Drosophila melanogaster: one gene and its partner. The protein of the gene in region 2 interacts with the protein of the main gene of each other region in a pairwise test. Each region holds a gene or a part of one and is shown on either strand. Other genes may lie near its edges.

Region 1 (4,948 bases), on a different chromosome or scaffold from region 2:
AATCCAGTTCGGAATCGAAAGGGAACGATCTTGGCCGGAACACACGCGTGGCTACAGATTTATATATCTATATCTATATATCTATTTATATATATATATATATATATATATAGATGGCAAACACTCTCGTTATCTCTTGTGATCGACTCAGTTGTTGTTATGAAATGGTAGAAAAGAGACGAAGGGACGGACAAATACGATAAATTAATGATGAATTCGGGTACAGAGATCGAACTTTTTTATCTAGCATAGCGCAACGGAAACAATGTCGAAATGAAGCACCGGAAACGGAAATGAAACCATAAGAAAACCCTGTATTGTATATCGCTCTATTTTTGATGTCCGAATCCAAATTTCCGAGAAAAAAAAATGGAAAGCAGAGTAAACAAAAAGAAATCTAAAAAAAACCGAAACACAAGCAAAAACAAAAACGAAGGGCGAAGTTTGGAGGAGATCAGCTTTTTTTGGCCAAGTCAGAGAAGGGGGAACGCTGAAAAAAGGGCAAATGAAACCAACAAAAGTTGCATTCAACAAAGTAAATAAAAATATTTTTATTGTCATTGCATATTTCTTAAGCTAGTACTTTTAATAACTAAATCGTAAGCGCGGAAAAACAAAGTAAATGAAAACACAAACGATAGGCCACAGCCCAATACAAAAAAGGATTCATAATAAATCGCGTGCCGAAACTAAAAGGATGGCAAATACAAACGCAGGCGAAAAATCTGTAGAAATTACAATATTGTTATAAATATTTGTCTCAATGAGAAAACAAACAAACGAAAACAACCAACCAACAAACAAACAAAAGCAAAACAAAACCAACAACAAAGAAAAATATACATTAAAAAATCAATAAAAAATATTTGAACAAATTCGTATGCATTTTCATCAGGATGGATGGGGTGGCTTTGGGGCAGTTGGAAATTCGTTTGTTCCAGTTTCCCCCAGGAGTGCTATCCATTCAGCTGGAAGTTGAGAGGAACCCAAATTGAAGCGCGTCACAGCGTCCGTTTCACAGAATGCTTTAATATTAAGTACTCACACAGCACACAGACTACAAGATACGAATAGATAGATACAAGATACAAAAAGTACAAGCGCATATACGCTTGGGATTACAAATATAAATACGTGTAGATCAGTCATAGTGAGTATTGGCGACGGCAAGATCCTGCGGAGTCTACGAGATGAACAGGTAAAGGACGAAGGTGCCCAAACCGATGTAGTGGCTGAGATAGCCAGCCTGCTGCCAGTGCCACAGGAAGGAGTCGCCATCCTCGCCGACTTCCAGGTCATCGCCCAGCAGCACGACGCCCAGATAGGCCAGGTGGAAGATGGCCAGCGCCGTGAATGCCAGATTAGTGAGCCTCGCCAGCCAGTAGGACAGGGAGTTCAATCGCCGTTTGCTCGGGCAGTGGCTATACCGACATCGTTCCTTGCCCGGACACAGATTGGCAGTGATGCAGGCATTCAGGAGGCTGGCGAGCTGCCGCCTGAGCAGCGATTCACCCTCGGCTAGGAACGCCAGCGAGATGAGCACCAGATAGATGCGCAGATCCATGCCGTGCAGCAGGCTGGACACCAGATAGGTGGAGAGCACGACCACCAGGATGCGTCCCCTCGAGGTGGACGCGGTGGGCTTGCAGGGCGCGTAGATGTACCGTTTGAGCCACTCGTGCATGGGAATGTTCCAGCTCCGGACCAATGAGCTGATCGAGCGCGGCCACTCGATGCGCCAGGGCTGCGAGATCAACGGACCCAGCATGTCCGACTCCTTGGTGGCACCGTCCAGTCGCTGATCGGAGGCTACCAGCAGCGCCTGCGCCATCATGCCCACAAAGTAGTGGCTGCTGCGCACACTCAGTGCGTCCCAGTACATGACCAGGAAGTGCGAGCTATCCCCGAAGAAGTCACTCAGCGCCGGAGCCACGCAATTGGACACGGTCACGGCCAGCACGCAGATCACCACGTTGGGCAAGAGGCGACGCAGGCTGACCAGCCAGCTATTCCGTGGCACCAGACAGTCCATGTAGCAGCCGAAGCTCACCCAGGGCCCCAAGGCGCAGGTGGCCGGACTGTAGATGTAGCCCAGGTAGGCAAACGGACCCGGAATCCTCGCCTGCAGCTGCCCACTGGCGGTCAGGTCGAAGCCCAGCGAGATAAGCTTCATATTGACCACCATCTGGATGCCGCGCAGCTGTGGCCAGTCACTGCGCCGCCGCCAAATGAGCAGTTCGTACAGGAACTGGCTGCCCACGGTTAGAACGGCCAGAACTTGAGCTCCTCTTCGTCCCAGTCGCAATAGCTGGAGCAGCAGGTAGCCCACGGCGGCCAGCAGGAGAAGTAGGAGCAGTCGGTAGCCCACCGTGATCTGCAGTATAATCAAGCCGCAGGCGAAGTGGAACAAATGCAGCGGTGCCAGGCTGGTGAGGCGTCTGCGCTGCGAGTAGAGGAGGCACAGCAGGCGGCACAGGAGGCAGAGGAGCAGCATGGGCGCCACATACTGCATGACCTGCAGCACAGATGGCTGCACGCAGCTCTGCAGGCTCTCGAGTAGGCGCCCGGCCAGCTCCAGGACACCGTGTCCATCTACCACCAGCTCCTCCTCCACATCGTCCCCGCCGAAATAATAGTCCTCCTCGCCGTTTGGCTGCCCAAATCTGTGGTCCAAGCTGCCGGCTGTCACCACGTCGTCATCCTCCTCCTCCTCGTCCAGATCAATGTAGTCCGATTCCTCCTCGAAGTACTGGTAGTCCATCGCCGGCCGCCCAAAGCCAATACAATCCGGGGGAATCAAGGAAAAACCCGGAAATCCGAGGACTTGGAATTATTTGCAAAGAATATACCGCGCAATATACCGAAAATACCACATCGGTGGCTTCGAACTCATAGCTAGTTTATAGCTAAGCTGAAAATACCAGTAGCTTAAACAGTTTTAAAAATCAAAATAAAAAAAAATGTATTAAACTTGTAAAACTGTTTGTTTTGTACACCAAGTGATGAAAAGGTTTTGTATCAGCTTATAGCTCGTTGTTTTTATCGGCTATTGAGTTGGCAGATTTCAGCGGATTTCCATTGCGTCTCAGCTTATTTAGTGATCAAGATACGGTCACACCGTATCTAGCAGTAAATAAACTATTTTAAGCAGTTTATTCAAATTTTTCGCTGCCAAATCCAGGAAACTCTATTGAAATGACTCGCCACGCACGTAACTGCACGGCCGGAGCCGTGTACACCTACAACGAGAAGAAGCGTGACGCGGCGGAGTCCGGCTACGGCACGAATGCCCAGCGCCTGGGCAAGGATTCGGTGAAATCCTTCGACTGCTGCTCCTTGACGCTGCAACCATGTCGCAGGCCAGTGATCACCAAGGATGGCTATCTATTCGACAAGGAGGCCATCCTGCAGTACATCGTGACCAAGAAGAACGAGTACAGCCGCCGACTGAAGGAGTACGAGCGTCTGCGGCGCGCGGAGGAGGATAAACTGAGCCAGGAGGCCAACAGCAAGCAGCAGGCGCGCATGGAGCGCTTTGTTAATGCCGAGAAGCCAGCGATGACACCCGCCCACTCCTCGGCCGCTGCCAGCGAGAAGCCGTCGACCTCTTCCGCCGCTGCTGCCGCTTCATCTGAATCCTCGTCCGCATCCTCGATATCCAACATGACCAACGGGCACGAGAAGAAGCTGCCCAGCTTCTGGCTGCCCTCCGAGTGCCCCAATGCCGGGTTAGCCAAGGCCCAGAAGCCCGACGCCACCATCTACTGCCCGGTGTCGCAGAAACCGCTGCGAGTCAAGGATCTGATTGATGTGAAGTTCACGCTGCTCAAGGACGGCGACACGAAGCGCTCGCTGATTGCCAAGGAGGCGCGCTACATGTGCCCCATTACCCACGACGTGCTCAGCAACGCGGTGCCCTGCGCTGTGCTGCGTCCCACGTGAGTGCTCGCTGGGATTTCGCGTTGAAAACCCTTTTAATAGTAACCTCTTCACTACAGTGGCGATGTGGTGACCATGGAGTGCGTGGAACGGCTGATCAGAAAGGACATGATCCATCCGCTCACGGATCGCAAGCTCAAGGAGAAGGACATCATTCCCCTGCAGCGAGTAAGTACATCGCGAACTGTGCAACTATTCTGCATTGCTAAGGTTTCTCGACTATTTCACAGGGCGGCACTGGCTACGCAACGACGAACGACCACCTCCAGGCCAAGGAAAAACGGCCCATGCTCCAGGCCTAAGACGAATTTATATAGCCGCCAGCTACTTGGGAGCACTTCAATAGAAATGTAATCGTTTTAGCACTAGCTAGTTTAAACAATCAATTATTTCTCCAGATTTTAAAACAATTGTGTATCATAACTTATACAAAACTTGGGTATTTTATCTGTTCCAATTCTACCTTTTCGTTTATTGCAAGACGAAGTGCATACATACTTATTGTTAAATAGGAAAAAACAAAATAAATACACTGATACTCGTACCACACAACCAATTAACCAGTAGTCCGAATTTCTATGGAAACAGCCCCGTCAAATGAAACCACTGCCAATCTTGGGGTTAAGGTATAATATTATATTCTTTATGTATAATTGTAACGTGTAATGTAAATTGAAGAAGCTGCAGCTGGCGGAATGCGGGCAGGTGGCCGAGTACGTCGTCTAGATACGTCGCTCCTGCTGGTGGCTGGTCGTCCACGTCCAGTTCCACGTCCACTAGGCCGCCTGCACCGACTGCTTCTGCGAGGAGCTGATCTTGTCGCCCAGACTCAAGGCCATGCCCTGTGTGAAAGGCGCGAAATACGGAATACGGATTAGAAAGTTGCGCATGACCATGTGCAGATGTGCGGCTGGTTTGTGCTCGACTCTCACCTGACTCTTGGCGCGAATGCGTATGTGTCCCGTCACCTTCGAATCGGGATCATCGACGGGCTTCTCGATACTCAGAT
Region 2 (4,814 bases):
CAAGCCCGTCCTTAGGAATGGATGTAGGAAGTTGTAGACGAGCCCCTTGGTTATGAGATTCGGATGATTCAGCACATTTTCCGCGCTATCCGCATCGATAATGTTGTAAATCGCCTTTCCAAAGACATATTCTATGTAGCTAGTACCCATTTCCTTAGCACGCTCACGCGAGTAATTGAAAACACCAGCTAGACAGTCATTACATCAGCCAAATGGGGTCCAGCGTTCGGCTTTTGCTATTACTCACCGTGATCTCGCCCATACAAGTCAAGGGTGTTGCCGAATATTGTTTTTCCCTTGGCTATGGGAGCGATGATCTCCACAGGGGTTCCATCCTTTAATCGAATTCTTTTGGTGAAGAAGGACAGGATGTGGTAATCCTTGTTGGCTCTGTGGAGCCAGTAGAGCAGGGCACTTAGGGCCAGAATCAGCCACAAGATAATCATTTTGGCACAACCGCGTTGACGGAACTCTCGTTTCACACTGATTGCACCTATCGCAGATTTCTATATAAACAGCTCATACTATCAGCCGGTTTTGTAGCAAAAATTACACCTAAAAGCTGCTTGAACTGATTAGATTGCACGGTGGCGTTCCCGCTGTTGGCGTTCGACTAGCTACGATTTGTGGTTGAATTCATCTAACAAAAACAATGAATGACTTGCTAGTTTGTTTGAATGAAAGCTTGTTTCATTTGAATGTGGGATAACCGGTTTTATTGTTAACAATATTCGTCCAATGTATGGCTCCAAGCTACGACGATTAGCACTGGAGAGTCAGGGTTAATTAGTCATCTAATATCAACAACGCACTTAAATCAATTTAGCACTTAGTAAGCATGAATAAGGAATATCCTAAAATCGATAAACACTAAACGCAATTCCGCCTCACAAGCTTGACTTTTATTTTATTTTTGAAGCGCAAGGTTATGCCCACTTGGAAGACAATGGACTTGGGATCGATAACAGGCAGAATCTTGAAATGCTTGAGGATGACCACCATCAGGGTCTTCATCTCCTGCATGGCGTACTTCTGGCCTTTGTGGTTAAAAGAGATAGATAATACACATATGTATGAGAACCGTATATTTTGAAGACTTGTACTCTTACCTATGCAGTTCCTTTGTCCAGCACTGAAGGGAATGTAGGCGTAAGGATGCCTTTTCAGGCAGTTCTGAGGTAGGAATCGCTCTGGGCGGAATTCTTCGGGCGATTCCCAATACTTGGGATTGCGATGGATGTCAAAGACGTGTATATTAATCTGAGAGCGCTTCGGCAGGATTAGGCCATTCTCTAGTTCCGTTTCCTGGAGTGTCTGACGACCCATGATGGGAATCGAAGGATACAGGCGCATGGTTTCCTTTATAAAGTAGCCCAGATAATTTAGTTTACTTAGTTGACTTAGGTTCAGGTTGCTCAGGTCGTCTAGAACGGTACGAAGAATAAAATTTATGATTCTCACGATTACGATTGCAGCGAACTGATTTACCCAGAATGTGCTCCTGGATCTCTTGGTAGCACAGTTCCTGTTCAGCGGCATATAGAGACATATTCATTAGGCCAAAGACCAGACCAATGGATGTGGTATCGTAACCTTCAGCCATCAGCGTGTCCACCTCCTCAGAAATCCCAATATCGTCGATTAGTCCATCCTTTTCGGCGCAAATCAAGGTGTCCAGCATGGCGAAGCGTTTCTTTCTAATCACGCATCTGGTTTTCGAGAGAGGAAGTTTATTAATGTGAATAAGTAATTTCAAAATAAGCTCACATATCATCGTCAGCCGTTTGAGTGGCTCTTCTATTTTCCAGCTCCTCTTCAAGTAGTACTCTGCGTTTTGCGATTATCTCTCTGGAAAATTCGTGTACCACTTTTAGAGCTGCGTTGTACTTGTGTCCCGTGAACATGTTGTATACACAATCGTCCCAATAGAGCGGGTTTACTATGCGCCTGGTAAGTCCTTCGTCGATTATGTGAAAGTTCGCCCTGTAGCGATCGCCCTTCTCTGCCATTTCATCCAGTTTGATTCCCATGGCAGTTTCTATGTAAGAAATCACTGATTGTTAAAGAGCCACTATAAACATTAAATCTTTAGGTACCACAAATGCTATTTAGGGTAAATCGGGATATGCGGTCCTTCAAAGAAACCACAACTTCATTTTGTCCTTGGAACTGACTTACGAACTTCAAGCTCTCCGCTCTGAAAAAAGAAAATTTATAAAAGTTTAATTGATTCATTCATAAGTATGTAAGCCTGTTCATACAATAAGGAAAATAACACAAATGTAAGACAAAGATGACTGCTTATCCAAAGTCCATAATATTGTAAAATAAAAATTGTTACGAAAGGCACTTACATAAAGATTTCTTGGAACTGGTTCAATATATCCAAATGGAATGTCCTAGTGAGCATACTGCGTCGCGTGTGCCATTTCTTTTCTGCAATAAAGAATTTTAGATCCAGCATTCCATTTTTCAGATTTCGTTTCTCACCTGTCGCTGTTAGAACGCCAGTTCTTAGGAAAGGGTGAAGAAAATTATATATTACACCCTTCGTTATCAGATTAGGATGATTCAATATGTTCGCTGCATTATGCGCATCTATAACATTGAAGTTGGAAAACCCCATGGAGTACTGCAGATAACTGTCTCCGCTGTTCTTCGCCAACTGGCGTAAGTGAGTAAATACCTGGTCTACTTATGCGAATAGACCAAGGGGAAAAGAAGTCTTATAAAGATAAGAAGCCCGATGTCAATGTTCACCTTCTACGAACCAGTGTCTTTTCCTAAGAGATCGAAGCAGTTGGCGAACACAGTTCGGCCCTTGATCATGGGCACTAAGCTGTCCAATGGTTTGCCATCCTTGGTTTGAACCCTTCGGGCGAAAAAGGCCAGGATATTGTAGTCTTTGTTTACCTTATAGATCCAGTGGATGACCACAAGTATGGCCACCGAAATCCACAGAAGACAAATCATCATGTGGGCGAACTGGATCGGTGGGCTTCGCTCTCAGCACTGTTTTGGTCTTGTTTTTTTAGTTCCCCGCTCTCGATCCACGCGAGCTTTTTACTATCAGCAACGCAGAGAACCGGCACAGAATTGATTAGATTTGGATCTATTTTATAAAGTTAGTATAAATAGTGTACCCATGTATGAATATATTTTTTTTTTTTGTGTGCTGGTTTCTTCGCTCCGCTGGTCGATATTTAATCTCACGTTCACCCAATAAGCTTTTCATTGGTGTCTAATTTTAATCGATACACTAGAATGTTCACATTTATTTATTAAAGCTCAATGTGCTTTGCAATAATCTTTAGTAGTGAATAATTTATCTCTAAATCAAACACATTTCTCACAACCGATAATTGGGCTTATAAATTCAAAATCTGTAATTTCCCAGCTAATTTCCATCGAGATGCCTAACAAATTTACTTCAAACTCCCACCAGCTGAGTAACAGGAATCTAATAGTCGAGGAACTGACTATATTTATTTACGGTACAAAACGTAAATCTTGAATTGAAGTCAAATGATCATTAAAGTCGTTTTGGTCGACAGCGTGCTAAAGTCATTTGCAGTAGTAAGAAAACCCGTATAAAATATTTTTTTTTGCCTTTAATGGGCCATTTAATAACTCGAAAGCAGAGCTTGTGAAAAATGCCAAAAACATCATCGGAGTACTTTAATGAAATGATACCCAATCCACATTGAATATACAAGATCTGAGGCTATTTTCATGAACTGTTCAAGACCACAGCTATGAGATAATTATTAACTTAATAAACTTAACTTATATACCATAAAATGTTATGTTTGTTAGCTTAACTGAATAAACATGAATGCAGCAAAAAGTTCTCATTGCATGATTGCATTGCAATTTTACTTTATAAAACATCCAGCTAAAACTCTCGCTTTAGGTAACATTAAACTTTTGTTAAAAGTATTTCATATAGATGGCATATTTAAAAAGTTAACTTGTATCTTTCACCTTAATCAACTGAGTGGCAGTGTCCGATGCCCTTAGCTCATTTTTCCTTTGTCATTCTGTTGCATTTGCCCGGACTGCTAATTGGCGATTGCAATTCATCAATTACATGGCATTCTGTGATTTTATTTGCCAGCGCCATTATACATCACTCGACCTACTTTCCGACAAAGTGCATGACACGTTACGGACAAAAGGAAAAGTGTGGAAAGGGCGGAGCTGGGCTGGGAAAACTTTAATTCCACCGTCGGCGATTACCGAAGGCCGACTGGAGATGGAAATGGCGGAAAACGGAAAATGCTGCCACGACTTTAGAGCTCTCCGCTGCAGCTGACTGAAATCCTGATTTTGATTCCGATTCCGACTCTGACTCTGACTCTGTTTCTGCTCGAGTTCCTCATGGCCTCCATCTCTCATGTAAAATTGAAACTTGAGCTGTGCGTTTGGGCCACGACCTTCTGCGCCGCCCACTCCGCCTCCTGATTACTTGCCTGCATTCCAAATGCATATTGGAAATTTGCAATTTCGATGGCACTCAAAGTCTGGCGACGTCAAGTGGAAAGTTCTTCCCAGCCAGGCCAAGTTATCAAATTAGATCACATATGAAATATTTATGGCAAGAGTTTCTGGCAAACTTGAAATTGCATTACCTCCAGTCAAGCCAAAGTCTTGGGTGAATTCGTTTGGCAAACCCTCACTGAGGCAAACTAGCGATTATTGAATGATTTATTCAATGGATTGAGACATTGTTGCCTCTGCTATATAATTTCATTACTTCTAAATGGCAATTTTGTTTGCCTAAGTGATATTATAATGTCTATTATTATAAATAA

What was found. The genes of interacting proteins can lie anywhere in the genome.
Region 1: the proteins of Cyp4p2 (region 2) and por interact in a two-hybrid assay, tested with the Drosophila melanogaster proteins (one large-scale study listed by BioGRID).

Annotation. Positions count from the first base shown.
Region 1 is NC_004354.4:18,376,993-18,381,940, forward strand, and holds por (porcupine), read right to left. Parts: upstream 2,863-4,948; 5' UTR 2,762-2,862; coding exon 1,184-2,761; 3' UTR 1,135-1,183; exon of another isoform or gene 1,058-1,134; 3' UTR 529-1,057; downstream 1-528. Other genes in the region: CG6179 (uncharacterized protein), read left to right, coding at 3,196-3,938, 3,999-4,107, 4,170-4,241; betaCOP (coat protein (coatomer) beta), read right to left, coding at 4,716-4,781, 4,872-4,948. UniProt on the Drosophila melanogaster protein: Protein-serine O-palmitoleoyltransferase that acts as a key regulator of the Wnt signaling pathway by mediating the attachment of palmitoleate, a 16-carbon monounsaturated fatty acid (C16:1(9Z)), to Wnt proteins.
Region 2 is NT_033778.4:9,235,714-9,240,527, reverse strand, and holds Cyp4p2 (cytochrome P450 4p2), read right to left. Parts: upstream 3,017-4,814; 5' UTR 2,977-3,016; coding exon 2,772-2,976; intron 2,692-2,771; coding exon 2,491-2,691; intron 2,437-2,490; coding exon 2,355-2,436; intron 2,198-2,354; coding exon 2,097-2,197; intron 2,039-2,096; coding exon 1,768-2,038; intron 1,710-1,767; coding exon 1,489-1,709; intron 1,425-1,488; coding exon 1,110-1,424; intron 1,038-1,109; coding exon 871-1,037; 3' UTR 697-870; downstream 1-696. Other genes in the region: Cyp4p1 (cytochrome P450 4p1), read right to left, coding at 1-188, 248-446. UniProt on the Drosophila melanogaster protein: May be involved in the metabolism of insect hormones and in the breakdown of synthetic insecticides.